4 linked regions of the Elephas maximus indicus genome follow. The protein of the gene in region 1 purifies or fractionates together with the protein of each later gene. This does not show direct contact. Links are inferred from orthologs where the notes say so. Each region holds a gene or a part of one and is shown in the gene's direction. Other genes may lie near its edges. The genes, in order: BAG2, TBL1XR1, UBAP2 and HSF1.

Region 1 (7,565 bases):
GGTTTAAGTGAAAGTTTACAAACCAAGTCAGTCTCTCATACAAAAACTTATATACACCTTGCTATATAATCCTAATTGCTCTCCCTCTAATGAGATAGCACACTTGTTCCCTACACTCTCTGTTTTCATGTCTATTCAGCCAGCTTCTGACCCCCTTTGCCCTCTCATCTGCTCTCCAGACAGGAGCTGCCCACATAGTCTCATGTGTCTACTCAATCCAAGAAGCTCACTCTTCACCAGTATCATTTTTTATCCCAGTGTCCAGTCTAATCCCTGTCTGAAGAGTTAGGGGAAGGTCTGGGGACCATGACCTCTGGGGTCCTTCTAGTCTCAGTTGGACCATTAAGTCTGGTCTTTTTATGAGAATTTGGGGTCTGCATCCCACTGCCCTCCTGCTCCCTCAAGGGTTCTCTGTTGTGTTCCCTGTCAGGGCAGTCATCAGTTGTAGCCGGGCACCATCTAGTTCTTCTGGTCTCAGGCTGATGTAGTCTCTGGTTTATGTGGCCCTTTCTGTCTCTTGGGCTTGTAATTACCTTGTGTCCTTGGTGTTCTTCATTCTCCTTTGCTCCAGGTGGGTCGAGACCAATTGATGCGTCTTAGATGGCCACTTGCTAATGTTAAAGTTAAATTTTTGATAGCCTGTGAGATTTTGCTGTTTTGTGGTTTTGCTTTTCTATTTGTTTTAAGATTCATATGCATCACTTCAAGTCTTTTTGGAAATAAGTGACGTAGATTTTTCTTTTTAATGTTGAAATAAGTGATTACTTGCCAGTTGACTGCCATCCCTAAATGAAAATAACTTGCAAGGTCCTTAGCACATTATATTCATGTATTTTGAATTTCATTTTGAGGTAATATCCAGATTCTCATGTTTCATAATACTCAAATTTTATGGAAGAAAAACTTCCAAGTTATCCTAAGTTTTTCCAGTTTACTTTTCCTTTTCTTTTTGAAAAGGTGAATGTGCTTGATGAGATTTATATAAAGCACATGTTTATTAGCTTTCTGCCCTAAGTATTAAAATTTATGTTTTTTAATGCAGATGTGGAATTAGAAGAAGCTATTAGAAGAAGTCTTGAGGATATGTAATTAAAGATATTACCACACAACATCAAGTGGCCTTGAAGAGATTCTCAGGATGAGTTCTAGAGTTTGTTTTCTAAAGGACACCGAAATCTACTAGCATAAATGTATTTGAGAATATGCTTTTGCATTCATGTATTCAGAGTCTGATATTTGCTTTGTGTTTTTGTGCTATTTGGCAAAAATGTTCAGAAGGAATGGAATATATATTAATACAAATATAAATCATGTATTCTAATGTAGGTATTCGTTTCTCAGCTAACTTCGAATGCATATACTTAGATTAAAATGATTTTTAAAAAATAGAAAAAATCTTGGCTATTGTTTATATATTTCTCAAATATGTGTTCTTTAATTTTATTTGTACTGTACAGATGATTCTGGTTTATTTTTTTAGGAGTGAAAATGAATAGAAATAAAGCTGCTCAATTTTTCTGTAAATCTTCTCACGTGGCATTGATATAAAATACATTTTGAGATCTTTATTTATAATTATTAGACCAGAGTAGTGGAAATTGATCATGTAAATAGATTAAAATTTTTACCAACAATGTCCCTTTTGGGTTTTGCTCAAATGTATATCCCTGCTTTAATTAGAGGAGTACATTGCTAGAAAAAAAAAAAAATCAATTTTTTTGAAATAATTAAAAGGAAACATTTTCTATTCCTTTTACCTGCTTAGACTTTTCTATGACTTGTATGAGCTACTGTTGAAGGGGAATGATGCTAAAATATTTGTGTAGAATTACACTTATTTTTAATAATCTTAGTCCTTTTTTAAATATATTTATGTAAACATAATATTCCTCAAAAAATAATGTAAGGCCTACTCAGGAATATTCTTCCTTAACTGTTTTAAAAAAATTATTTCTTATGAAAGTAGCTTCATTGTAGTTATTCATTGAATTGTCAATTTCCTGCATTTGGATTACATATTTAATTTTTAGATGTTGAGGCCCCATTGTGAATAGTAAAAATATTACATAAATAGCAAAGTAAGAAGAGCTCATGATACTACCTGTGTGTGTTTCATGTTTTTTGACCAGAAATCCTTTAGCATTAAAAAACTGAGTAGTAATTACTTACCAAACTTGAAAACATTTCTTTAAACATAAAGCTTTCTTTAAGACAAAAAATACCATGGCCAGAATTTTGTTCTTTCTCTGTAACACTGGATATTTTATTGTAAAGTGGAATTACTGTTTTTTTTTTTTTTTATTATTAACAGCCTTTTCAACCCACATTGAAAACCAAATTGTGTATTTCTTAAGATGTCAGTTCTGTTCCTCCCTGCTTACATTTTTTTAAAACACCATAGCTTGAGAATTTACCTGTCATCATTCTAAAATGACCACATTATGCTTTCAATTTGTAGGTTGAAGTGGTCAAGCAGGGCTCTAGGAGGTACTCATTAAGCCGGACTTTAAAGATACTTGCAAGAGCTTTCTAAATAGGAGCAGAAAAAATGGTCCAGGAAGAAGAGTGGTTTAGCAGATGTGGGGCAAGTGGAGACAGTAGCTCTTTGCCAGAGTTCCATACATGGGTGTGATGTACACTGATATTCCATTAATAAGCTTTTGTGGTTTGTATGGTAGAGAGTAACCAAAACTTTTGAAATGACAGGAAAGGAATATTTCATCATGACCTTTAAGAAGAGGTAGTTTAATGTTTTAATTAATAATTGTCACCAATTGTATTTCTACCTGTAAAGCAATTAAAAGTCATTTAAAAGTACGTCATAGTTTAATTTAATTTAGACACAAGGAGAAGATATAATCAAGTGGATGACATTAGAGAAAGTCATATGGCTTATTTATCAAAAGTAAATGTTTCTAACATAAAGATGCTTTTCATTACATTATTCATTCATTCAAAGAACTATTGAATACCTACCATGTACCAGCAACTGTTCAAAGTACTCGGGATGTACCAGTTAGCAAAATAAAGCCTCCACCCCTCTGTGGAGCACACATTTGGGGAGAGGGGGTTGGATGGAGTTTTAGATAATAAGCAAGTAAACAAAACAGTATATCTGATGATGATAAGGGTGATGAAGGAGGGGCTTACTATTTTTAATAGGGTGGTCAGGAAATATCTCTCTGATGGGTAAAGTTGAGCAAAAGAAGGTGAGGGAGTGAGCCATGCAACTATATATGGGGAAAAGTGTTCCAGGTGCAGTGAAAAGGTCTAGAAGTGAGTTCAGCATATTCAAGGAAAAGCAAGAAGGCTAGTGTGGCCGAAGCGGGATGAGCTAGGAGGGCAGCAGATAAGATTGGAGAATTGAGGTGGGGAACTGTGCATGGAAGGCCTTAGGCCTTTTTAAGGACTTGCTTTTTCTCTCGCATGAGGAACCATTCTAGGTTGCTGAGAATGAGTGGTATGATCTGCCTTATTTAAAAGAATTAACTATAGTTGCTTTATCAAGAAGACATGAGATGCAAGAGTAGAAGCAGAGAGACCAGACAGGAGGGTACTGGAGCAATCCAGGTGAGAGTTGATGGTAGCCGTGGAATTGGGGAGAAAAATCTGGATATATTCTAAAGGTAGAGCTAACGGATTTTACTCATGGATTGGATCTAGGATATCAGAGAAAGAGTTCAGCATGGTTCTAAATTTACTTCATAGACTTTCACACCATTAACAAAATGTCTTCAGATTCCGAGCTTGTGTCACAATATGACAAAATATGTTTAATGAGGTCAAATAATCTCCTACACCAATAGTTCATTAGTATTTAGAATGAGTTCAGAGGGAATTTCAATCTGGGTTTAAGGGCCTTATGTTCAAGTATTAAATGGCTTTGATGTCTGATTAAAGGTTGTGATTCAGCTTTAAACGGTTTTGTCATTTTCTGTGCTCTGCACATTTTCGCCTTTACTGTATGACACACAGCTATAATAAGATGGGAACAAAACAAATTTTTCCTTTAAACAGAAATCGTTATACTCCCAGACCTACTCCAATCTTTTACCGACCTTTATGGTATCTCACCTAGTGGACTACTGCATCTTGCCATTGTTACTAGGAGATTTAAATAAGTTAAACATAAAATGGCCTTCATTGTTAATACCAACTATTTCACTCACTTCCTACAGGAATAATTTTTTTGAATAAACAGTAAAAACAAATCAATAAAAATTGCTTCATTAGAATGGGTGGAAACGAAGCAAATTCATCTTGCTTCCCATATCCAGCTAGACAGACAGGTGTGGTAGCTTTTTTTTTTTTTTTTTATAGGCTTAATGTTGTCTAGGCTGTGATTTTCATCTCAGGAAAGGGACGGGTAACAGGACAGGTCTGGACTGCCTAGGGGTTGTACATAAATGCTTTCAGCTCCCCAAAGGGACCATTTCTGCCCACATCAAAGGACTTTTAACTTTTTTTTTCCTTGCTGTGAATTATGGGTGCTGGGAGAAACTGAAAGAAGCCATCACTGAGCACTACACCCACCTGTGGGCGTTGGTTACTTTCAGGCTGCACCGAGCAGGGGGGTCCATTCCGGGGAAGGAGGCGGGGCGTTCTCCGCGTGGGCGTCGGTTGTTCCAGACTTCGGCGAGCAAAAGTACCAGCCGCTCGCGTTGTGCCCAACCCGCTGCCTGTGTCCGCCCTTCTGGGTTCCTTGAAGGCTGCCTGGCATTGCTCCTCAGGTCCCCTTGCTCTGCCTGCCTATCCTGGAGACCCGGTGACCCGCGAGTCCCTAACCACTTCGCTCCCCCCGCCCCACCGCCGCAGCAGCCCCCGAGCCCCGCGGGCGCCGCGTCTGTCCTTCTTTGGCCAAGCGGCAGCAGCAGTGCCGGCGCGTCTCCCGGGCCGTCCCCCGCGGGCGTCAGAAGGAGGCGGTCGCCCCGCGCGGTGACAGCGACGCCTGCGGCCCCGGGAGCGCTCCACTCGCCGCTGTCGCCAGAGAGGCCGGTGACCTCTTGGCCCCCCCGCCTCGGAGGCTCAGATGGCTCAGGCGAAGATCAACGCGAAAGCCAACGAAGGACGCTTCTGCCGCTCCTCCTCCATGGCGGACCGCTCCAGCCGCCTGCTCGAGAGCCTGGACCAGCTGGAGCTCAGGTGAGCGCGGCCGGCGGCGGCGGGGTTCCCATGCGGAGGCGGCCGGGGCCGGGCGGGGCCTGGCCGGCCGGGCGCCGTCCCGCCTTCCCGGGGCTGCCTGTGCAGCAAGAGCCGTGCTTGCTTGAGATTTGTTTTTGGTGGAGATGGCGCGGTTTTGTTTCTTGGTGTTTTTTCTCCTTGTCCGAGAGAGGACAGATTCTATTTAAGCTAAACCTGTGAGCGTGTTATTGGTGGTCACATTCTGATTCACGTGTCTGGGCGTTTGGCAGCGGAGAAAATACAAATCAGAAAAGATAAAAGTTACGATGACATTGTTTGAGATTAGGGACTGTGGCACTCCTGGTGAGCAGAACTTCTAGAACCTTCTTTGTGCCTCTACATGGTCCTTCCAAATGTTTCTAACTTAACACTTTTTCTGTTATGCGTTTTTAAGGGAGGCAACAGTTTAGTGTGGCCCCCGATATGAAATGATCAGTTTTGTTGCTCCAGAACGCTTTAGAGCAAAAAAAAAAAAAAAGGAATCCACCCAAAAGCAAGGTTTAGAGAGGAGTGGGACAGATGCTGGGCTGTGGGGTGAACGGTAGCTGGGTATTTTATGGAATAAAGACACCGCAGCTTCCCTTCCTCTGGTAACCCCGCATACTGTATTCAGCCATTCCCTTAGTCTCTAAATATTCATTGTGTACCTTCTTATATGGAAGTCACTGTGCTGACATGACACCTTCTTGAAGGTGCTAGTCACCGTGGCCTGAAAGCTTGAAAACATAGTTTCCCCTTTTACCTGATTAAGATTTCATTAAGTGATTAACCGCTCCAAGTCGGAATCGACTCCCCGGCGACGGTTTTTTTTTTTTTTTTAAGTAATTAATGCAGTGGTAGGCTTGTATAGAATTTCTGAATTTATAATAAATTTTGGCAATACTTTTTATTCCTTTAACAGTATATGAAAACTTTTGTTTCCTATGAACGTTTTGATCTGTGTACAGCTTTATGTACTTAAACGAAGATCTTACTAAGGCATACAGGAACCCCCCGAAATTGGACAGAGTTTTGTTTCACAGTTTTCACCAGGTTCAAAAAGGTGTATGTGAGCCAAAAAGTGTAAGAAGGGCTGCATGTATGTGTTTATCTCTCCTGATTAATATACCAAATCAAAAAGAGATGTATGTTTTCCAAGAAAAGTAATAGCCACAGTATTCTCTAAGCACTGAGGCACTTCCAACTTTCCCAAGAGTCAGAGAATGAGAAATTCTCCACGTACGACGATTTCATGAATGGCAACAGAGAAATCTGAGCCCTAAGCCAGGTTCTGAGGTTCTGCTCAGAATGAGACAAATGGAACAAGACAGAAACAATGCTTCTATGTGAATTTCCACAAAAATAGTAAACCTGACCCATTCAACCCAGAGAAAGTGGAGCAAAACTAGAGATCAAAGGCCTCAACGACTTTCTGTCTCTAAGAGTAATATTTCTCTCCATGCAGCAGTGTAAAAAGTAACTCACACCTCTCTCCTGGTCTTTAGAACTTTGAGAACATGTCTTCTGACTTTTCAGGAGTCTCCTCAATTCAGAAAGAAACGGTTTTTTCCTTAAAAGAATGAGGAGGGCGTGGCCCCTCCTTCAAGCTGAGTCATTGTCCTGAAACCAGAACTAATACCTCACACGTGGTGGGTACAAAAGTAGTCAAGTGTGCCTCTTTAAAAGAAAGCATCTAGTTTTTTGAGTATTATTATAGTCAGATGTTTGATTAATGTAAAATAATTACTGCATGTAAGTGATTAAATTACAACTTGCTTAATTAACCAGTGAGCTGAGGAGGAAGGACTACTGATTAATATGTGTCTTAATTGTTCATTTCAAGGACTTTTCTAATAATTCTAGACTTTTAAAAGCTCTATTTCTTCCTTTAAAAAAAGAAACGAAACTGAAAACTTAGGAAGTATTTCACCAGGTAAGAAAAGATAGAAAAAAATGCTGCCATTCCTATGAAAGTTGTTCTGAAACCACGCGGGGTATATTAGGTAGAGGAAAATGTTACCATTTTGTACTTAGAAGCACGCATTTACTATTCTCCAATCACACTGGTTCTGTAGATTGAGAAAGAAATTTCTTCCATATGAAACTGAAAGCAAGATTATGCCAAATGCTGTATGATTTGAATTACGAGCTGGTGTGTATGTTTAAAATGCTTTAAAATATTTGGCAGCATTCTACAAATCATTAAAGAATTCCATTTGTTTCTAATACTTTATCATGACACTAGCCTTTCTTCTTTGACTCCATCTCCTTTGTTCCTTCCTCTTAAAGAGGTAATTCATGTCTCTCCACGTTTTCATAACCAGTTCTGAACAGAGTCTGAATTTTTCATTTTGCAGTGGCTCAAGACACCCAACTTGTTTGTTATTGTTACTTTTTTAACAACT
Region 2 (7,383 bases), on another chromosome or scaffold:
CTGCTTCCAGGGGCATTGACGGTGGATGCAACTGAAATGAAACCGTTGACTTCAATCTTTTCTCTGGTTATTATAATGTTTATTGGTCTATTTGTGAACATTTTTGTTTTCTTTATGTTGACATGTGATTCATACTGAAGGTTGTAGTCTTTGATCATCATCAGTAAGTGCTTCAAGTCCTCTTCACTTTCAGCAAGAAGGCTGTGTCATCTGCATGTCGCAGGTTGTTCGTGAGTCTTCCTCTAATGGTGATGCCATGTTCTTTTTCATACAGTTCAGTTTTTTGGATTATTTGTTCAGCATACAGACTGAATAAGTATGGTGAAAGGATACAACCCTGGTACATATCTTTTCTGGTTTTAAACCACTCAGTATCCCCTTGTTGTATTTGAATGACTGCCTTTTGATCTACATACAGGTTCCTCATAAGCACAATTAAGTGTTCTGGAATTCCCATTCTTTGCAATGTTATCCATAATTTGTTAGGATCCACACAGTTCCATGCCTTAGCATAGTAAGTAAAACACAGGTAGGCATCTTTCTGGTATCTCCGCTTTTAGCCAAGATCCATCTGACATCAGCAGTGATATCCCTTGTTCCATGTCCTCTTCTAAGTCTGGCTTGAATTTCTGGCAGTTCCTCGTCAATGTGCTGCTGTGACCATTTTTTAACTTATCTTCAGCAAAACAATTCAGGGAAGGGTTGTAATTGTTCAGTTCTGCCTGTTGCTGCTGAATGGAATAAGTTTAATGGACGGGAAGTATTAGGAAGCCCATTTGGCTGTGTATCAAAGCCTTGTTCTTCAAAAATTAAATAAAAAATAAAATAAAAATATTTTATCAAATAAAAACATAACTTACCTAATGGTGCTAGCTTTTTAAGCAAAAAGATTTGAGAATTTTACTAAATCTCTAAATATTTCTGTTATGTTCAACAGAACATAAGATTCATCATATTTTGTAATTAGTTTATCATATTTATGAGCCTTACTTATTTGTGATTCTTTTGTTTGTTGAGCATCTGAAATATTTTAAAAGAAGATTGAATACATTAAATGTATAAATGCAGTTTAATAATTCTAGGGAATGGAATTAACCAAATTGTAAACATCTCCTTAACGGGAGAGTTGGGTATGTAACTTGAATTTCAAAGTTGGAAATAAAAGCAGGTTTTCAAATGTATAATAAATAAAACTGAATTATTGTCTATTGTCTTCTTTGCCCAAAAGAGCTGTCTCCAAAAATACCCCGCAGAATGTAAAACAGTATACCAAACCAAACCCGTTGCCATTGAGTCAATCTCGACTCATAGTGACTGTATAGAACAGAGCAGAGCTGCTCCATAACGGTTTTCAAGGAGCACCTGGTGGATTTGAACTGCCAACCTTTAGATTAGCAGTCATAGTTCATAACCACTACACCACCAGGGTTTCCATAGAACAGTAAAACCACTTTGGAAAATGATTATGGTGTTTCCTTAAAAAAACTAGAAATAGCAATACCATATGACCCAGCAATCCCACTCCTAGGAATATATCCTAGAGAATTGAGCTGTCACATGAATAGACATATGCACAACCCATGTTCACGGCAGCATTATTCACGATAGCAAAACGATGGAAACAACCTAAGTGCCCATTAACAGATGAATGGAGAAATTATGGTACAGACACACAATGGAACACTACACACTGATAAAGAAAATGAAGAATCTGCAAAACATCTCACAATATGTACGAATCTGGAGGGCATCATGGTAGGTGAAATAAGTCAATCACGAAAGGACAAATACTGTATGAGATCACTATTATAAAAATTCAAGGAAAGGTTTACACTCAGAAAGAAACAATCTTTGATGGGAGGGGAAAGGTAGGGAGGGAAAAACACTAACTAGACAATAGGCAAGTGGTAAATTTGGTGAAGGGTAAGACAGTACACAATACTCGGAAGTCAGCACAACTTGAACAAGGCAAAGTCACAGAAGCTCTATACCCATTGCCATCAAGTAGATTCCAACTCACAGAGTCCCTATAGGACAGGGTAGAACTGTCCCATTGGGTTTCCAAGGAGTGCCTGGTGGATTTGAACTGCTGACCTTTTGGTTAGCAGCCGAACCCTTAACCACTACACCACTAGGGTTTCCAGAAGCTCTATAGGCATAAGCAAACTCCCTGAGGGACCGAGTTACTGGACTGAGGGCTGGGGAGTATGGTTTCAGGGGACATCTAGATCAATTGTCATAACATAGTTTATAAAGAAAATGTTCTACATCTGACTTTGGTGAGTAGCATCTGGGGTCATAAAAGCTTGTGAGGAGCCATCTAAGGTACATCTACTGGTCCCACTCCACCTACAGCAAAGGGGAATAAAGAAAACCAAAGACACAAGAGAAACATTAGTCTAAAGGACTAATGGACCACAAATACCACAGCCTTCACCAGCCTGAGCCCAGAAGAACTAGATGGTGCCCAGCTACTATAACACACTGTTCTGACAGGAATTGCAATAGAGGGTCCCAGACAGAGTGGGAGAAAAATGTTGAAAAAAATTCAAAGTCACCAAAAAAAAAAAAAAAAAAAGACCAACTTACTCTTCTGACAGAGACTGGTGAAACCCCAAGAGTAGGGTCCCTGGACACCTTTTTAACTCAAAACTGAATTCAGTCCCAAAGTTCATCCTTCAGCCAAAGATTAGCCAGGCCTATAAAACCAACAATAGCACACATGAGGAAGTGCTTCATAGTTCAATCGTGTACAAGACTAAATGGGCACACCTGCTGAAAAGCAAAGCCAAAAAGGCAGGGAGAGGAAAACTGGACAAATGGAAATGGGGAACCCAGAGTAGAGAAGGGAAGAGTGTTGACACATCATGGGGTTGGCAACCAATGTCACGAAACAATTTGTGTATTGATTGTTTAATGAGAAACTAATTTGCTCGGCAAACTTTCACCTAAAGCACAATAAAAGAAAAGAAAAAAAAAAGAACACCCCCACACCCATAGTGCCATGTGGTGGCAGAGGAAGTGGTGAGAGGCAGGGAGTGAGGGGCACAAAGTCCTTCCTTTTGTGATGAGGAGATAGGTACACTAGTAGTATCAAAGAGTGCCAGAGAGTGAATCTGACTCGTCGGTTATAACCACGTCTGCATTCAATAAACATTTTTTGCGATTCCGATCTAGGAAATGGATGTCATATAAATGTGATTTAGATGGGGTTCCTCCTCTCCAAGCAGTTTCTCCTTTCCTCCACTTTGTATTTCCCTGTTCTCCTCATTCAGCAAATGCTTGCCCTTTCCCGCCTTGACCTGCTTAGCTTCACAAGGTGGAAGAGCAGATGCTGCACACAGACAGCCTTGAGTTCAAATCCTTGTTTTGCCATTATTGGCCTCGTGACCTCAGAAAAGCTATTTGGTCTCATTGCCTCATTTTCCTCATATGTCAAACTGGAATAATATTACTTAGCTCTTCAGGCTATTGAGAATATTAGAGACAACAAACATAAAATACTTTGAAAAACACTTGGCAGCATGTTCAATAAATAACTGCAATTAATATTACTATGGCTTCCATCAATATCCTTGCATAGTTAGAATACTGTGATGATGAAATATGATGTATAGGCTTCTGACTAAATCAAGAGCAGAAAGGCCTTGGTAATTTAACAACAAAAAACAACCAAAAACATTTTGGTGCAGGAGACATTGGATGTAACAGTGAACTCTTCCCTATCTGTACTTATTCCCTTATCTATTGTACCTAAGCCCATGGTTTTAAATACCCTTACTCTATTGAACCAATACCTACCAGTTGTCATTGCATCAATTCCAACTCATGGCAACCCCATGTGTGTCAGAGTAGTACTATACTCCATAGGATTTTTCAGTGGCTGATATTTTGGAAATAGATTGCCAGGTCTTTCTTCCAAGGAGCTTCTTGGTGAACTCAAACCTCCAACCTTTGGTTAGCAACCAAGCATGGTAACCAATACCTACCAGTTGTCATTGCATCAATTCCAACTCATGGCAACCCCATGTGTGTCAGAGTAGTACTACACTCCATAGGATTTTTCAGTGGCTGATATTTTGGAAATAGATTGCCAGGTCTTTCTTCCAAGGAGCTTCTTGGTGAACTCAAACCTCCAACCTTTGGTTAGCAACCAAGCATGGTAGCTGTTGGACCACCCAGGGATGCTGACTTAAAATGATATCTTCAGCCAGATACCTCCCCTGAACACAAGATTTGCATATCTGGCTGCCTACTCAACATCTTCACTGGGTGTCTGATAGGCACATTAAACTAAAACAGCAGCTCCACTGCCTGGCACACCAAGCTTTCAATAAATATTTGTTGACAGAATGAGCAGCAAACCCATCAACGTAATTTGAGGCCTTGAGTGTCGCCCCGAGGAACTACATGGCTGGTCAGTATAAGTAAGTAATTGATGGGTATAGTACTATATTCTGTATGCGGGTGCTTTTCTGTACTTAATCACAAACACAAGACACAACCTGCTATTTCCATTCTGGGAGAGGCGTAAATAGTTGTAAGATGGTTGTGTGCTTCTTTTGTAATTTAAATTAAGACTCCCAAGTAAAGTTCATTGTTGTAATGAAATCGGGTCACAGAGGCATGGAAAACTGTGACAAGGTTCACACTGATGAGAAAAGGTCATGAGTGGCACGCTAAGGGCAGATGGAGAAAAGGAACTTGTGTGCTGAGATCTCGTGATGTGTGGCTGAGTTGTACATCAGTCCGGATGGCAAAAGCTGATAGCTGGGAGAACCACAGACAAAGAATTGCAAAGTCAAAATGAAACAGAAACATATCACAGGCTATCAGCAAGACGCCTGAGGGTGAAGGCTACAGACATAAAGCTATTGAGTTCCTGGGTGAGTAAAGAATATCAAAAAAGCACCAGGATGGTATTTTTGGTGTCAAATATCCTTTTCATGGTATTAAGTTTGTGTTGAACACTTTAATTGTATCTGTCAGTTCGTGTCAACAATGTAAAACATCATGGTGGCTTTAAAAAACATGAGGTCCTGTAGGCCTGTGAAGAAACCACTTTAAAATGCTCTATTTCCTGAATGATGAAAGTTGCAAAGATGTAGGCTATCCTGCCATACCACACCCCCTGGGTGTAATATTACTGTAATAAAACAAGTCAGGATTTGTTTAGTCATTTTATAACATATATGTAACTTCTGGTAACAGTTGCTAGTATAAGGTTTCTCTTTGTTGAGTAATTAGCTAGAAAGTTCAAGAGAACTTTCTTAATAATGTGTCCCTTTTTTTTTGCTTTAGAATTTCTTTGTAACAATAATTTCTCCTTTCTAGAAACATATTAACATTTATATTCAAAGCATAAGGCCAGCTTTTAGACTAGGACAGAGCTCTGAAGATTAGCAACAATAGTTACTTCTTTGTCCTTACGCCCTACACCTACTTACCCTGTGAATTTCAGCGCAGCCTGTGATCTTGCATACTGGGTAAGTTGGAAAGGTTAGAAGGGGAGGTAACAATACATGCAACCTTGTGGGGTGAGTATCTGAGCATTTCATGTTGAAAGCACACTGTCTTTTCAGTTAGGTCCCCAAAGTACAGAAATCAAAGTGATCAAAATATGGTCTCATTTAAAATTCCCTTCATGGGGGTGGGGCGGGGAGGGGGGAATCGGGTTTTTCTACATTAGTTGCTTTTCTTTGCCCAAAGGTACTTACTTGAGTTTTCTCTTCGGTGAGCATGCTTTAATAATGACAGGTGAGCAGCACTTTATAAAAACTAGTTGTGGTACCTGATCCCGCCTTTAGTGATTTTTAACATGACATCCAAATGAAGGAAACCCTGGTGGCATAGTGGTTAAGTGCTATGGCTGCTAACCAAAGGGTCAGCAGTTTGAATCCGCCAGGCGCTCCTTGGAAACTCTATGGGGAAGTTCTACTCTATCCTATAGGGTCGCTATGAGTCGGAACCGACTGGACGGCACTGGGTTTGGTTTTGGTTGGTATTCAAATGAAGTAATTTATGCAGAGAAATACCTTGTAACCTACGATGAGGTAAACAAACGCATGAATTATTATGATTATGCTGAGGTTCAACTAACACAACCTCTGTTATGGGAGGAGGCAGTTTGGTCTAGGGTACAAAAACTCTAGGCCAGAAGCCATGGGTCCTGAGGAAGGTGGGCCCTCTCTCCACCATGGGAGTAGTTACAGGGGTCATTCTCGGGCTGGGTAAGGCTGGGGCCCCAAGTTTGGGGATGATCCTATTAAGAACTGGTGTGGTTGGGAAGTCCTTACTCAGTGGAAGAGTGGTTTGGTTTTACGGTGGCTGCTGTCTGGAGAAGACCCCTGTGGCACAGTGTAAAACTTTAAAAACAAGCTAGGCCAAAAATAGATTTGTTTCACTGGTTCAGATAATGATAACTGTATTGAGATAGTTTACTTCTTGAAGAGAGGATTTGGTGACATACATATTTCATTAATCAACTCTTAAAATATTAAAAAAATGAAGATATTGTACTTCCATCACTTCTTAAAGAGACTTTGCAAAAATGCAAGCTCTGTGATAAATAAACCTCTTTAGAATCCTACTGAAATGCAAAACTCTTTGTTCTGTTTTCCTGTACACTCTGAACAGTGTTTTGGAAACCTGCAGTTATCTAAATTCCCATCGGGTGACATTGTTTAATCTAACATTCCCTCTTTCAAATATCAAAATAGCTAGCTCTAAGGACAAATGCTTTGAACTTTTCTGGTGGTTGGGAGGGAGTTTCCAATCACACTGTTTCCTCGCTTGTTTTTCCGGCTCCCCTCCCCCATCTCATGTGGGTCACGAAAGGCCTGTCTGCTGCCTTCAAGCTGGGGCCCATCAGGGGACACAGCTATTGACCCTAGCCAAGAAAGCTTCTGCTTTCATCTCTGAGTTTATTAGGCCACCCGGAGTCCACATGTGTAAAAGTTACTTCAAATGATACTTTTTTTTTTTTTTTTGGTGTTAAAATTTAGGTCTCTGATATTGAGGAAAAGACTATTGCTTTAAAATGACTACACCTATTTCCAAATATTGTGATAAAAGTATAAAAACTGAACTCCTCACTTTGAAAAGCTCCAAAAATATTATTTTGCTTTGAAGATAGTAAGAATTGAAAATAACAAAAAGGTTTCTTTTAAGCTGTATTTTAACTTCCAAAGGGTAGCCGCTTTTTCTGTCCTAGGCTTACACAAAGGTCTGAGAAGCACCCCCACCCCTGCTTTCTGAGAGCCTTAGAAAGATTAACACCACATTTGCTTTAAAAACTGAGGGGCCTCCGTCTTCAAAACATGCTGCACTCCCTTCTTCCATCGTATTGACACAATATCACTTAAGTTCTACTTTATAAGCTGC
Region 3 (7,118 bases), on another chromosome or scaffold:
CCCCCCAGGTTGGAAGGCACTCAAAAGATGACTGGGAAAGAGCTGCCACCTCAAAGTAGAGTCAACCTTAATGACGTGGATGGAGTAAAGCTTTTGGGGCCTTCATCTGCTGATGTGGCATGACTCATAATGAGAAGAAACAGCTGCAAACATCCATAAATAATCGGAACCTGGAAAGTACGAAGTATGAATCTAGAAAAACTGGGAATCGTCAAAAAATGAAATGGAACACATAAACATCGATATTCTAGGCATTAGTGAGTTGAAATGGACTGGTATTGGCCATTCTGAATTGGACAATCATATAGTCTACTATGCTGGGAATGACAACTCAAAGAGGAATGGTGTTGCATTCACTGTCAAAAAGAACGTTTCAAGATCTATCCTGAAGTACAACGTTGTCAGTGATAGGATAATATCCATACGCCTACAAGGAAGACCAGTTAATATGACTATTACTCAAATTTCTGCACCAACCACTAGGGCCAAAGATGAAGACATAGAAGATTTTTATCAGCTGCTGCAGTCTGAAATTGATAGAACATGCAATCAAGATGCGTTGATAATTACTGGCGATTGGAATGCGAAAGTTGGAAACAAAGAAGGATCAGTAGTTGGAGAATATGGCCTTGGTGACAGAAACAATGCCGGAGATCGAATGACAGAATTTTGCAAGTCCAACAACTTCTTCATTGCAAATATCTTCTTTCACCAACATAAACGGCAACTATAAAAAAAAAAAAAAAAATTTTTTTTTTTATACATATGGACCTCGCCAGCTGGAACACACAGAAATCAAATTGACTACATCTGTGGAAAGACATGATGGAAAAGCTCATTATCATCAGTCAGAACAAGGCCAGGGGCCGACTGTGGAACAGACCATCAATTGCGCATATGCAAGTTCAAGCTGAAACTGAAGAAAATCAGAGCAAGTCCACGAGAGCCAAAATATGAACTTGAGTATATCTCACCTGAATTTAGAGACCATCTGAAGAATAGATTTGATGCACTGAACACTAGTGACTGTAGACCAGACGAGTTGTGGAATGACATCAAGGACATCATCCATGAAGAAACCAAGAGGTCAATGAAAAGACAGGAAAGAAAGAAAAGACCAAGATGGATGTCAGAGGAGACTCTGAAACTTGCTCTTGAGCATCGAGCAGCTAAAGCAAAAGGAAGAATTGATGAAGTAAAAGAACTGAACAGAAGATTTCAAGAGGGCCTCTCGAGAAGACAAAGTAAAGTACTATAATGACATGTGCCAAGAGCTGGAGATGGCAAACCAAAAGGGAAGAACATGCTCGGCGTTTCTCAAGCTGAAAGAACTGAAGAAAAAATTCAAGCCTCGAATTGCAGTAGTGAAGGATTCCATGGGGAAAATATTAAACGACACAGGAAGCATCAAAAGAAGATGGAAGGAATACACAGAGTCATTATACCAAAAAGAATTAGTCCATATTCAACCATTTCAAGAGGTGGCGTATGATCAGGAACCGATGGTACTGAAGGAAGAAGTCCAAGCTGCTCTGAAGGCATTGGTGAAAAACAAGGCTCCAGGAATTGATGGAATATCCATTGAGATGTTTCAACAAACAGATGCAGCGCTGGAGATGCTCACTCGTCTATGCCAAGAAATATGGAAGACAGCTTGCTGGCCAACTGACTGGAAGAGATCCAAATTTATGCCTATTACCAAGAATGTGGGAATTACAGAACAATATCATTAATATCGCACGCGAAGCAGAATTTTTCTGAAGATCATTCAAAAACGGCTGCAGCAGTATATCGACAGGAAACTGCCAGAAATTCAGGCTGGTTTTAGAAGAGGACATGGAACCAGGGATATCATTGCTGATGTCAGATGGATCCTGGCTGAAAGCAGAGAATACCAGAAGGATGTTTACCTATGTTTTATTGGCTATGCAAAGGCATTCGACTGTGTGGATCATAACAAATTATGGATAACAGTGGGAAGAATGGGAATTCCAGAACACTTCATTGTGCTCATGAGGAACCTTTACATAGATCAGAGGCAGTTGTTTGGACAGAACAAGGAGATACTGATTGGTTTAAAGTCAGGAAAGGTGTGTGCCAGGATTGTATTCTTTCACCATACCTATTTAATCTATATGCTGAACAAATAATCTGAGAAGCTGGACTTTATGAAGAAGAACGGGGCATCAGGATTGGAGGAAGACTCAGTAACAACCTGCGTTATGCGGATGACACAACCTTGCTTGCTGAAAGTGAAGAGGACTTGAAGCACTTACTAATGAAGATCAAAGACCACAGCCTTCAGTATGGATTGCACCTCAACATAAAGAAAACAAAAATCCTCACAACTGGACCAATGAGCAACATCATGATAAACGGAGAAAAGACTGAAGTTGTCAAGGATTTCATTTTACTTGGATCCACAATCAACAGCCATGGAAGCAGCAGTCAAGAAATCAAAAGACGCATTGCATTGGGCAAATCTGCTGCAAAGGACCTCTTCAAAGTGTTGAAGAGCAAAGATGTCACCCTGAAGACTAAGGTGTGCCTGACCCAAGCCATGGTATTTTCAATCACGTCATATGCATGTGAAAGCTGAACAGTAAATAAGAAGACCGAAGAAGAGTTGATGCCTTTGAATTGTGGTGTTGGCGAAGAATATCGAATATACCACGGACTGCCAAAAGAACGAACAAATCTGTCCTGGAAGAAGTGCGGCCAAAATGTTCTTTAGAGGCGAGGATGGTGAGACTGTGTCTTACATACCTTGGACATGTTGTCAGAAGGGATCAGTCCCTGGAGGACATCATGCTTGGCAGAGTACAGGGTCAGCGGAAAAGAGGAAGACCCTCAACGAGGTGGATTGACACAGTGGCTCCAACAATGAGCTCAAGCATAACGATTGTAAGGATGGCGCAGGACCGGGCAGTGTTTCATTCTGTTGTGCATAGGGTCGCTATGAGTCGGAACCGACTCAAGGGCACCTAACAACAACAACAGGCAGGTATTTTACATAATCCCGTTTAATTTTCACAATCTTGCAAAGTGGGTATTATTATCACAAGGTAACAAAGCTCTGAGGTAAGGCTTCCTGGACTCAAAAGTCCGTGTATCTAACCAAGTTGGGATAATGCTTTTGAGGCTCAAATAAGGCAATAAATGAGAAAATACCTAACATACTAAAATTATAAATGTACTTATGCTTAATTCCTGAAGGAATAACTGGGTCAGATCTTATGGAGAGGAGGGTCAGCGTTCGAAGACAGAAAACCTGGTTTGGATCTCTTAAATCGGAAAATAACTGAACCTCTCTAATCCTCTTTCCTTATCCTTAAAATCCGGTCAATCCCTGCCTCAGGGGGTTGTTTATGAAATTTAATAAAATGATAATACAAACGGCTAACGTTGAGCAGGCGTCCGATAGATGTTAATCTTTCCACACAGAAAGGAAATGGGGAATGCAGAACCAATTCGATTCCACATTAACCAAGGCGGAACTCGCGAGGTATTCCTGCCCAGCGCACCAGACCCGTTCAGGGTCTTCTTGAACCCGCCCGGGTACTGCAGGTGCTCTGGCGAACCGTTGGCGTTTTCCCGCGCAGGGGGAGGGGCGGAGCGCAAGGCCGGGAATTTGGTAGCGGCGTCCGCCCACCAGGACTACATCTCCCAGCAAGAACCAGGTTCAGTCACCTGGTCGACGTAACCCACTGGTATTAGTCTCAGAAGCTAGAGATGTCCACTTTTCTTCTTGGCCTTCCCTTGGCACTATGTTCCCAGGTTTACGTCTATGAACCTGCACGGAAAAGGCTGTGGTAGTGCATGTCTTTGCTATGGAGCATGCTGGGAGTCGTAGTCCTCTCGTGCAACGTGTGGGAAGCCAGGCTTGCCTTGAATGGTTACACCATATCACGTGATACGAGATCGCCGGAGGTGGCCGACGAGCGACTTGCAGTGCCTTATGAGGTCATCACAGCGCGACAAGCTGCAGTTAGGGCATCCTGGATGCGGTGGGTAATATTTCCCTAGCCTTTTCCAAGTAGGGGAAATCCCATAAAACTTCCCTCACTTGCTCCTTTCTCTTGCCCCCCGCCACCTCAACGCTGTTGGCCTCACGGGGTTGAGAGAAGCAGTGGCTAGAGGAAGCGGTGCGCGCTTTGGGAGGTCTCGGGAGCCGCACGGAAGCGGCTTGTGGCTCCTCCTTCGGTGGTGACGTAGAGGTCACGTGACGGACCGGGCCGCCTCCGCTGCTGCCGCGGCTTTGTAAGCGGCACATTGGCAGGTAACGAGAAGCGGCGGCGGCGGCGGTGGTGGTGGTGGCGGCGGGTCGGAGTGCAGCGGGAGCAGCAGCGGTAATTGCCACCTGTCCTTCTTCTTCCCTTTTCCAGGTTCCTGAGCCTTGCAGCGTGCGCTTTCTAGTCCTGGGTTCATCTTTTCTTTGCCCTAACCATCTTCAGACTGCCCCAGCGCCCACCCGCGAGGACCGGGCCAAGCTTCCCTCCTCAGCTTGACGCTTCCTCCGTATCCTCAGGCCCGGGCACCCCCCTTCCTCTCTGGGTTGCCCTGGTTCTCCTTCCTGTCTACCCCCATCCTAGTTCCACCGGCCCCACCCAGCCCCTGGGGGCGTCTCTCCCCCCCCCGCCACCGATCTTCTGTCCTGGAGGGTGTGGTTTTCTCTACCACCTCGTCCCTGCCAGTCCTCTCGAGCTCCCGCGCCACGCTCTCGCTACCATCCTTACCATCTTTCCGCTTTTACGCCCGTCGCTAGTCCTGGGACTGGCCCTCTTAGAGCCCAACTTCTGCGCTAACCCAGAGGCATAGTTCAGTTCTACCTCTTATTCTCATTTCGGAGGTCTTTGGCCTCAGACTCTTAGAACTCCGTTTTCTTCCTCAGCCCCAGTTCCTGTGATCTGGTTGTGTCACAGTTTGTTCTTTAATGTCGATTTGAGAGCGCTTTGTAAACTGTGGAGCGCTGCCTGTCAGACGTGTTCAAAATGTTGTATCTTTCATTGGTAGATGACAATTCAGTTTTCTTGGCTCTGAATCACTTTCCCACTCTCCTCCAGCCCTCTCCTCATTCAGTGTAATTAGTTGCCCAGGCATCTCACATTCACTCTATGGATTCTTGTTTTCTCTAGGGATCGATCCGTAGTCTTTCATGTTTGACCTAATTCTGTAGTTTACTACTACTTCTCTTGGAGATTGCTTTTCCAAAGTTTACGATCACTCAGTATTCAGGCTTTTCTCTTATCCAGCGCCTGCATACCCTAACAGTTAAGGCCTTTTTAAGGTCTCCATCCAAAGATCATCTTTTATTTGAAATTGTTTTGTATGTATGTATGTGTGTGTGTGTATATATATAAATATATGAAACATTCACTTTCTGTGTGAATTCACTTATATTTTTTCTTCCATTTCGATAGCACTTTTTTTCACCTACGGTTATGTCAAGAATTATTGTGTTCTCATTTTTAATCATGAATTGTACATTCTTTTTACTGTCAATTTGTTTGATAAAGGTGGAGGGAAGATGAACATCACACCTAAGCACTCCTTTACCTTAGTCACTGGGTGGGTAGGTTGGGCTGGTCCCCATCTATCTCAGGAAAGGGAATAAATTCCACTCTCTGAAGATGATATAGTCTTCCAGTATACCAGTGTGGCTTCTCTGCGTCTGGAGCCCCTTGGCTGGAAGCAAAAAAGCATTTTTTGGGGGGCACCCTTTAATTGCTGTGAAGCTTGCCTTATCCTTAGGCAAAGGTGATTAGTTTCCTACATCACTCTTTTGCTTGCCTCCAGTGTGCTGCTCCTGGTTTTTCCTCCTTATGGCTAGTTCACACGTGGGATGAAAGATTGCCCCTGCCCCTCACTCCCCAATGCCCTACTTGTTTCCCACAGTTCTGGTTTCTCCTGTTTCCTTGTTGCCGGCTGACCTTCAATTATTATTAAACGGTTCAGTGAGGGGAAGTTTTTGTTGTGATTGAAATATGGCTGGGAAATGGTGGCTTGGGAGAGAATGAGGCCATAGGAAAGGGCTGTGGTAATTGTCCCTCCTGCCTGTTTCCTGCTGCTCTGGTTTCCTCTGGCCTCTCTCTTTAAATGTGGGCTGGACCAGCAGCACTCACATGGAGCTACCTTTAGAACAAGGCCAGAACATCAGTAACACCTCTGCTTCCCTTTCCTGGTAACTGGTGCAGACTGTATAGTGCTCACCAGGAGTGTCTTGATACTATCGTGAGTGACTATTATTTGGGGGAGAAATGGTGGGAGAACAGGGAGAAGAATGGGTTTATTGTCTTTATTCTAAATATGCAGTTGTGTTTTGATGTGAACTGGTCACTGTCTCTACCACCTTTAAGTACAAACTACATGTAGAAAGTACAGACCTATTTTGAAGATTTGAAGTGATCTCAAGTGAAGCCTTTACTTTTAAAGTGCTAGTCTTATTCCCAATCCTCCCCCCACCCCCAATGGTGACTTACTGTTAAGATTTCCTTTGTTATAAGACCTATTTTTTTTCTCTTTTAATTTTTATTGTGCTTTAAGTGAAAGTTTACAGATCAAGTCAGCCTGTCATACAAAAATTTGTATATACCTTGCTATAAAAAAAAAAAAAAAAATTTTTTTATGTACTTGTAGTTGCTCTCCCCCTAATGAGACAGCACACTCCTCTCCACCCTCTAGTTTCGTGTCCATTCTTCCAGCTTCTTTCCCCCTCTGTCTTCTCATCTCCCCTCCAGACAGGAGCTGCCCACATAGTCTCATGTGTCTATTTGATCCAAGAAGCTCACTCCTCACCAGTATCATTTTCTGTCCTATAGCCCAGCCCAATCACTGTCTGAAGAGTTGGCTTTGGGAATGGTTCCGGATAAGACCTATTTTTCAGGATTGGGAGTGTGTTATAAAAGAGCAAATGCCTGTTCAAAAGAAGCAGTCTGTATGAGCTCACAAAGTTGTGATGCTCCTCTGCTCTTAAACAAACCTATTTTACTTTGTTACTCTTTGTGAAGTAATCTGTACGTCAGCAAATATTGCTAAGCTCTTCGTTAATTTGAGTAAAGGAGTGTCCTTTAAAAGCTAAGTGTTATGGCACCTGTGGTGTTGGCTGGTAAGGCGGTGGA
Region 4 (7,849 bases), on another chromosome or scaffold:
GCGGGGAGACTTGGAAATCAAAAACTATTAACTATTGTTATGGACTGAATTACGTCCTGTCCACAAAAAATACCGTGTTGTAAATCCTAACCTCTATGAGTTGAAATTGACTCAACGGCAAAGGCTTTGGTTTTTTCCGGGGTATGCCTGTGGTTATAATCCCATTGGGGAATGGGTTGTCTATGTTAACGAGACAGGATTAATTTAGAGTGTATCTTGAGTCAATCTCTTTTGAGAAATAGAAGAAAACAAAGGAGCAGAAGCTCAAGGAGACAAGGAGAGAAAGCCTTCCCCTAGAACCAGAACCCTGAATTCAGACTCCAGCCTATGAGAAAATAAATTTGTTAGAGCTACCCACGGTTACAGCAGCACTAGGTGACTGAGACAGCTGTACTCACCACCTGGGGCCAAGGGCACTGCAAGGGAACACACACTCATTACTGAACATGCTGACATATCATCAGACTTTTCTTCAGAGAGGGCAGATTTTGTACTTTTGAGAAGAGAGGGAAAGTTTCCCATGATCCTACAAGCCAAAACAGGCACAGTGCATGTGGCCCTTCCCAACGGGGATGACGTGCCCCGCGGCCATTCGCACCAGGGTCAGTGCAGGTCCCAAATGGCAGATGCTGAGGACGTGAACTGTGGCTCCATCTCGTCTTCCTTACCAAACAAATCAAACCCAGTTGAAACAACCACAGCATTCTTGGTGCTCTTACAGGAGTAGACTTCTGTGTAAGTCAAAGTCACGAATACCAGAACACCAGGGCTGTTTGAAGTACAAACTGGTGTAAACTAGTTTCTAGAACTTTTTAACATAGTCAGTTTGTATTTTGTTAAATTAAGCTTTTCTCCCACTTTCCTTAAATCAAGAGCAGGGATCAACCTTCCCCATCATCACAGTACCCGGCCCCGGTCCCCGCAGGGCTCCCATGGGTCAGCCAGGCTCCGTGCTCTCTTCCGTCGCCCAGGTGCTCCACCTACTCCTCATAAGTACCCTGGGCTGGGACACGGGCCTCACCCCAGGCTCTGCTAAGCTAAAGTCTGGCTGGGCCAGGAGAGTTCACCCTTGTCCTGTGGGGGTGACATAGTTTTTCCCCAGTGACTGACACCCACTGTGGCTGGAACCAGTGTTCTGGAGCCCAGCTACCCCAGCTACAAACAGGTGGCTGCACTTGGCACTAAAGGTGCCCCAGGGGCACTGAGGAAGGGGTGCCCACGGGGTTCCCGAGGGAGCTGTGGAGAAAGGCACAGCCTCTTGGTGAGCCCCAGGCCTGGCAGGCACTGCTTGCTCCTGGTTGCCTGGCTTCTGGGGAGGCCCACAGGAGGCCCTGCCCACCCACCTGTGACTGCTTCTCAATGGTCTTCCCCGTCCCGACATGACCTTCATCACTGTTGGCCCCATCCTCACTGTCGTTGTCACTGCCAGAATCTTCTAGGCCGGAGAACACGCTCTCCTCGCTGTTAGAGAGGCCAGAGTCACTGGTATCGATGTGACTAGGAGCAGGGCTGCAGAAAGAGGGCTGCAGGGAAGGAGAGTGTTGGTTCAGCTGGAGCTGCCTGCCCACCTGCCTGCCCACCTGCTTGCCCACAGGCCCTGTGCTGAACAGGGAGGCACAGCAGAGACCGGCTCCTCCAGGCGCCACCACAGCTCTGAGCAGCAGCAACCCTCCACCTCCACCCAAGCCATCCAGCCCAACCCAGACCTTTCCCATCTTCCACCTCCACTGACAGCATCGCCGTTCACCCTTGAATGGGCGTTTTACTTCCCAGTATCTCACAAGACACAGAGACTTTTCAAGGACACCATCCTCTTCTTAGAGTTTAGTTCTCACTGCCTTCCCAAAACCGGCTTTCCATGCCAACTGAAACCCCCCATGCCTCACCCTGATATTCGAGGTCCCCAGAGCCATGAGAGCACTACTAGGAAAGGGGCTGGGGACAGCAGAGAATTAGAATCCACGAGGGACTTTTACTACCCGAAGCAAAAGCCTCCTCATCGCATGAGATTGGGACAGCCAGTCAATCAGTAAACTGACAATGTTGGTTAAAGTCATTCATAAACGTGATGCAGTGTAGGGCCTGGCTCTCTGGGCCAAAGTCTGAGACTGAGGAGGCACAGTGGGCGATCCTGGCGTGGCCTTTACCAAAGGACAAGGACGCAAAGGCGCTTAGGAAGCAAACTGAATGCAGAATTCTGGATTCCCACCTTCTTCAACATTTCACAACCATCTCGCCTAATTGGACAGCCTGTGTTTATCAGCGGTCCCTAGCACTCAACTTCATCTTTGCCTATGCTCACCAGCTGTTTCTAGCATCAAACTTTGTTTTCACAGATATGACCCTCTCATACGCTCACACTATATCTCTGACGTTTTGATAGCTACACATCACAAAAGCAAGTAGAAATGGCATAAGCTGGTTTGGAAACAAACACGACAGAAACTCTTGATGAGTGCCCAGCCCAAGTGATGGCCGCAGCCACGACCAGAGTGGAGCACTGCCTGCTGGGGATGAGGGGTGGGCAGCAGCAGAGGCGGTGTAGGTGAATTTATCTCACAAAGAGGAGGGACAGCTCCCACCAATCCAGCTAAGTGGTGTCAGCTGTGAGAGGATCCAGCGGATGTGCCTCTGTGCTCCAGATGTGACGAAACCCCCAACCAAGCAGGATTGAGCTGGGAAGCAGAACCAGCAGTGCTAAGTGGGTTCAGTTAAAACAACGTGTCCAATGCAAGAGGCTCAAAGGCAGACTGTCCACTGGGCTCTAGTTACATTTCTGCGTTCTAACATCCTTTTCTCCTTGCTGTAATATATCTAACATATTAGCCTCATAATACAAACAAGTACTGCATAATTAAGCGTATATTGGAGGAGCAAGCTCAAGTGTTCTTTAAGTTTTCATTTATTGGTTCTTGTTGAGAACGTACACAGCAAAACACACCAATCCAACAGCTCTACAAGTACAATTTAGCAATGATGATTCCCTTTGAGTTGTGCAACTATTCTCACCCCCCTTTTCTGAGTGGTTACTCCTCATTAACACATTCTCACTGCTCCCTAAGGTTCCAATCTAATTCTCCAGTTGCTGTCGCCACTGTGGTCCCATATAAACAGTGCTAAAAAGACCATAATGCTCAAGGCAGACATTCTTTACTGGCTAAGCTAAACTACTGTTTCGTGTTAAGAAGACTTCAGAGAATATTTTTTATTTAAGGTTTAAAGATGATCTCAGGGCACCCTCTGTGACTCCAGGAAGTCTGGATTCCATGAGAATCTGAAATTCTGTTCTGCATTTCCCCCCTTTTATCAGGATTCTTCCACAAAATGTTTCATCAAAACATTCATTCACGGTAGCTGGGCACCATCCAGTTCTTCTGGTCTCATGGTAAAAGAGGCAGTTGTTCATGGGGGCAGTTAGCCACACGTTCCGTATCTTCCTCCTACTCCTGAATTTCCTTTTTCCTCTGTTGTTCCAGGTGAATGGAGACCAATTGTGCCTCAGATGGCAGCGTGCAAGCTTTTAAGACATCAGGCACTACACAGAGCGCCAGGCAATAGTACAGAAGCACTGAACAGTGACCTGGGATATGCCGTGAAACCATGAACCTCCAAACCAAGAAACCAAATCCCACGAGGTGTTGGTGCACAAGCAGTCTCAGCACTGCTCTCTGGTCCTTGTAGTTCAAATGTTCTTAATGACAGGGTGATGCCCTGCCCTCCATTCCCACCCTCTTCCCATTTCGCTCCTCCTTAGACACTGTTCTCCAACCCCACAGAAGTGCCCCTGATTCCAGACTGCCTAGACACCTCTGCCTGGACCCCTCCCCTGCCGCCGCCTCCACTAGAAGGCAAGGCCCGATTCCCACGGCACCTTTCCTAGATTCCTAGTTCCCCCACGCGACTCAATCCTCGCTCTCAGCTCCAGCCCGACACACACTTCGAGTGGGCTCTCCTAGCTGCGTGCCGGCGAGGTTTGCTTGAACAGCCATCAACAACAGGCCTCCACTAGGATGCCACCCGACACTAGGGCGGGAACGCCTGCGCCGCCTGTGAAATTAATGCCGAACCCCAGGTTGCTTAGGGAGGCGGCTGTCCCATCCTACCCGCCCTGGGCACGCCTGGAGCGGTCCCCTGCAAACAGCAGCCCGGCACCGATACCCTTTCGGTTAAAGGAAACCCCATCCCCGACCTTCACCTCCGAAGCCTCGCCAACTCTGACGCCTCCTCTCCGCCCAGCCACCGCGCGATGTGTCGCTGCCACAGCCACGGAGGATGCGCCCAGCAGCCTCGGGGCGCCCCGCACGTGCGGCCGCGTGGGCTCGGCCTCGCCCGCCCGCCGCCGCCCCGGCCCCAGCGCCCGCCGCCCCGGCCCGCGCCCGCTGTCACCTCCTCCTGCTCCCGCTCCGACTCCCGCTCGGGCTCCGGGTCTGGCTCCGCGGGCCGCTTCCCGGGCCGCGACTGCGTAGCCGCCCCACGTCGCGCGCCCCGCGCGCCCGCCATCCTCCGGTGAGCCTGCTCTGCTTAAACAGCCGCTTCCGGCAGCGACCCGCCGCGTGCGCCTGCGGGGCGTGGCAGCGGGGTCAGAGGGCGCGGCCGGCCCGCCCCGCCCCGCCTGCGTTGATTGGTGAACGGTGGCGGGGGGCGGGGCAGAGCCATCCCGCGCAGGCGCGTGGCGGCCGGGAAGGGGCCCAGAGCCGGGAGCGCGCGCGCGCCGGTGGGGACGCAGGCCGCCGGGCGGCGCCAGCGGGAGCGCGCCCGTCCCAAGATGGCGGCGGCCATGGTAGGCCCCGGGGCTGTGTGTGCGCAGCGGGAGGCTGCGGCGGCGCGGCGCTGGCTGCGGGTGCAGCGACGGCGCTAGCCCGTTCCTCGGCCTCTGCTCGCGGCCGCTGTCTCTGCCTCTCCCTGCCTTGTCCGAAATGGATCTGCCCGTGGGCCCCGGCGCGGCAGGGCCCAGCAACGTCCCGGCCTTCCTGACCAAGCTGTGGACCCTCGTGAGCGACCCGGACACCGACGCGCTCATCTGCTGGAGCCCGGTGAGGGGGCCGCCGGCCTGTCGGAGGGCGGGGAGGGAGCCCGCCGGGCGGCGGGAGGGCGGGTCCTGCCCCGCCGTGGGAGGGAGGCCGCTCCGGGAGGGGCGAGGGCCGCCCGCGAGTCCCGGTGGGAGCCCGGGAAGGCGGGGGCCAGGTTCCCGCCTCTCACCCCCCGTGGGCGGGGCGGGGAGCCAGCCAGCCAGCCACCGCCGTGGGGGCGCGAAGTTTTCAGGGGACGCCTCCCCGCTCGGTTCCAAGGCCTGCAGGTCTCGAGTTTGCCCCGTAGGAAAGGGAATTCCAAGACTCGGTCCGCTTTGAAGCATGTTTAGGGTCCTGGGGGTAACGGCCCTGCTCTTCCCACACCCCGACTTGGTTTCAGGGATTTTCAGCAGGTGAGGTGGCAGCCTCTAGCAACGCTGCTGTCCTCAGCCTCCTCCTCGTTCAGCTGCTGACCGGCTGAAGATTCTCCGGGACGGGAAGGGAAGGCTGGACCTTCTCGTTCTTTGCTCCTTTGCTAAGTGTTGGACAAGCGTGGAGATGTACTGTCCTTAGACCAAACGTCCAGTTTCTCTAACGAACATTGTGCCAAAGTGGTGATTTTTATCTCCAACGTGTTACTGCGGTGGTGTTACTCAGAGGCAAATCAGAACTTGGCACATGAATCGCAGGGCGCTGCTCTAGTGGAGAGGAAAGGGGATGAAAACAGAAAGTAAAACGTCATAAACTCAAGCTGATCTCCTGTGCGTTTCCGGATCCCAGAAGTGGGTTTCCTTAGAGCAGTTTTGTTTTTCGTTCCTGGTGGGGCATCTCTGTTCACGTCCTTGTAGTCCGTTGCCCGGCAGCAGGCTTGTTTACGCGACCTGACCCTGAAGTACCCGACAGCTCTGGTTTGTAGGAGTTAATCCGTGATTATGTCTGGAGTTGGCGTTCAGATGGCTGTTCACATCCTGGCTGTGACAGTGTGTCTGATGAGGGCCACAGACCCAGCTCAGGGCTGGGATGTGATTGGTGGCCTGAAGGAATGCACTTTTGGAGACACCATGTTAGGGCTGGGTGCTTCCAGCCATACTTAGACTTCCTGTGAGCTCACACATTGGAATTTCTCAGACTGCAACTATGGCCCTTTTGTAGGCCAGTTGCTTAAGCTTAGTTGCCATCAAGTGATTCCGACTGCCAGTGACTCCATGTGTGTCAGACTAGAACTGTGCTCCAAATGGTTTTCTGTGGCTGATTTTTCTGAAGTAGATTGCCAGGCCTTTCTGCTGAGGTATATCTGGGCAGACTTGAACCTCTGACCTTTTGCTTAGCAGGTGAATGTCTTAGCCATTTGCACCACCCGAGGACTCCTCCTTGAGCCAGTAGGAATGAAGAGAAGTCTGGGCTGAAGCTCTGCCTTGTCAGAGGGCATTTGGGGATAAAGAGAAGGGTAGAGCACTCACCCTGCACTCCCTCAAAGCGCTTTTCTGAGAAATTTTTGCCTCTGCTCCCTGCCATCTCCTGTGTGGGTATCCCCTACCCCACCCACCCACCCCCCCATCCCCTACCACCATTTCTTTAATGCCAGGTACAGGTCCCTGGAAGAGGCAGTGGGCTTCCCCCGCATGCTCTCTTCATGTTTCCGCCATCCCTTCCATCTAGACCTCAACCCTTCCTGGCCAGACAAGATGACCCAGTGCTTCTTTCTCCCTGACCCTCTCCTCCCACCTCTTGCTCATTCCCCTTAGCTCACAGGAGGGGGAGGGGTATTAGGGGGCTGATCCTAGAGGTTGCAGAGGCTGTGAGGCACCACATCTCAGGCCTCTGGGCCAGCACACTCTCTTCCGGGACCCTCTGTGTGTTCTGGGAAAGGCCTTTGCCTGGAGCATTGTACTTGGCTGGGTTTGCGGCCATCGTCCACCAGGCATAAGCCTGGGCAGGGTCCCCAGAGAGGCTTTGCTCTTGTATCACAGCCATCTGTGATCCCATCGATGGGGCGGGAGCCAGCCAGGGTGCAGGCGTGTGGTTCTCCCTGGTTAGCACGCAGCCTGAGTGGCTGGGGTCAGTGCAGGACACAATGGGGCTGGTGGTGACAGTGAGCCCCAAAACCCAGCTCTGGCAGAGAGAGGACTGCGGGCTACCTGGCCCTAGAAAGGAGGGGATGTTCCCATCCTGCAACATCTGAGGACACCCACCAAAGCCCTGCAGCCCCTCTTTCAGCTCAGCCCCAGTCCAGGACCCTGCAGATTCTGTCACCCAGAGCCCAGCCCCCAAAGGCCTCAGGGAGGCTGATGTTCGTGCCTGTGCTGGAAGCGTTCTCCCGCTCTGCCCAGAGGTGCTGGCAGGCAGGCGCAGTGCTCCCTTGTGTGACACGGGACGGGAACTAGAGGCCTAGTGAGAATAACTCACAAGACCGACCTGCATTTGCTGGGCCATCAGAGTGAGCACCTCCTTAAATGTTGTGCCCTGACAGGAGAGTGGGGACGCTGTGGTCCCCAGGGCATGGGCCCTTCCCAGAGTGCCCGTAGTGTCAGTCTTCAGAGGCCTTGCTCGGAGAGGTGCTGAGCCTCTGTGTGGACTTGGTCCTGTGGCTGGGCAGGAGTCAGGCCAGCCCAGGTATTCCCTGGGCAGTCACACCAGACTCCAGGAGTTGGCAGGAGCTGGACCATGGGGTGCACGGGCAGTCTCCCATCCGCCCCAGAACCCACCCAGCTTCAGGGCCAGGTCTGTTGGGTAGGGGAGCTCATTCAACTCAAGCTCTTGAACCCCTGGCCTCGGACTGTTGCCAGGGCTCCCTAACAGAGGCAGAGCACCTCTCTTCCCTCAGCTCTGAGGTGGGCGTG

The links.
Region 2: the proteins of BAG2 (region 1) and TBL1XR1 purify together in Homo sapiens (affinity purification with mass spectrometry; 3 studies listed by BioGRID and IntAct, with this or other methods). This does not show direct contact. The link is inferred for Elephas maximus indicus from reciprocal best matches to the Homo sapiens genes BAG2 and TBL1XR1.
Region 3: the proteins of BAG2 (region 1) and UBAP2 purify together in Homo sapiens (affinity purification with mass spectrometry; 3 studies listed by BioGRID and IntAct, with this or other methods). This does not show direct contact. The link is inferred for Elephas maximus indicus from reciprocal best matches to the Homo sapiens genes BAG2 and UBAP2.
Region 4: the proteins of BAG2 (region 1) and HSF1 purify together in Homo sapiens (affinity purification with mass spectrometry; 3 studies listed by BioGRID and IntAct, with this or other methods). This does not show direct contact. The link is inferred for Elephas maximus indicus from reciprocal best matches to the Homo sapiens genes BAG2 and HSF1.

Annotation. Positions count from the first base shown.
Region 1 is NC_064819.1:122,937,820-122,945,384, forward strand, and holds the start of BAG2 (BAG family molecular chaperone regulator 2), read left to right. Parts: upstream 1-4,503; 5' UTR 4,504-5,029; coding exon 5,030-5,142; intron 5,143-7,565. UniProt on the Homo sapiens protein: Co-chaperone for HSP70 and HSC70 chaperone proteins. Acts as a nucleotide-exchange factor (NEF) promoting the release of ADP from the HSP70 and HSC70 proteins thereby triggering client/substrate protein release.
Region 2 is NC_064841.1:22,503,252-22,510,634, forward strand, and holds the start of TBL1XR1 (F-box-like/WD repeat-containing protein TBL1XR1), read left to right. Parts: upstream 1-4,316; 5' UTR 4,317-4,427; intron 4,428-7,383. UniProt on the Homo sapiens protein: F-box-like protein involved in the recruitment of the ubiquitin/19S proteasome complex to nuclear receptor-regulated transcription units. Plays an essential role in transcription activation mediated by nuclear receptors.
Region 3 is NC_064827.1:42,908,104-42,915,221, reverse strand, and holds the start of UBAP2 (ubiquitin-associated protein 2), read left to right. Parts: upstream 1-3,947; 5' UTR 3,948-3,958; coding exon 3,959-4,007; intron 4,008-4,281; exon of another isoform or gene 4,282-4,349; intron 4,350-7,118. UniProt on the Homo sapiens protein: Recruits the ubiquitination machinery to RNA polymerase II for polyubiquitination, removal and degradation, when the transcription-coupled nucleotide excision repair (TC-NER) machinery fails to resolve DNA damage. May promote the degradation of ANXA2.
Region 4 is NC_064833.1:674,024-681,872, reverse strand, and holds the start of HSF1 (heat shock factor protein 1), read left to right. Parts: upstream 1-4,728; 5' UTR 4,729-4,916; coding exon 4,917-5,033; intron 5,034-7,849. Other genes in the region: ribosome biogenesis protein BOP1, read right to left, coding at 1,344-1,523, 4,387-4,500. UniProt on the Homo sapiens protein: Functions as a stress-inducible and DNA-binding transcription factor that plays a central role in the transcriptional activation of the heat shock response (HSR), leading to the expression of a large class of molecular chaperones, heat shock proteins (HSPs), that protect cells from cellular insult damage.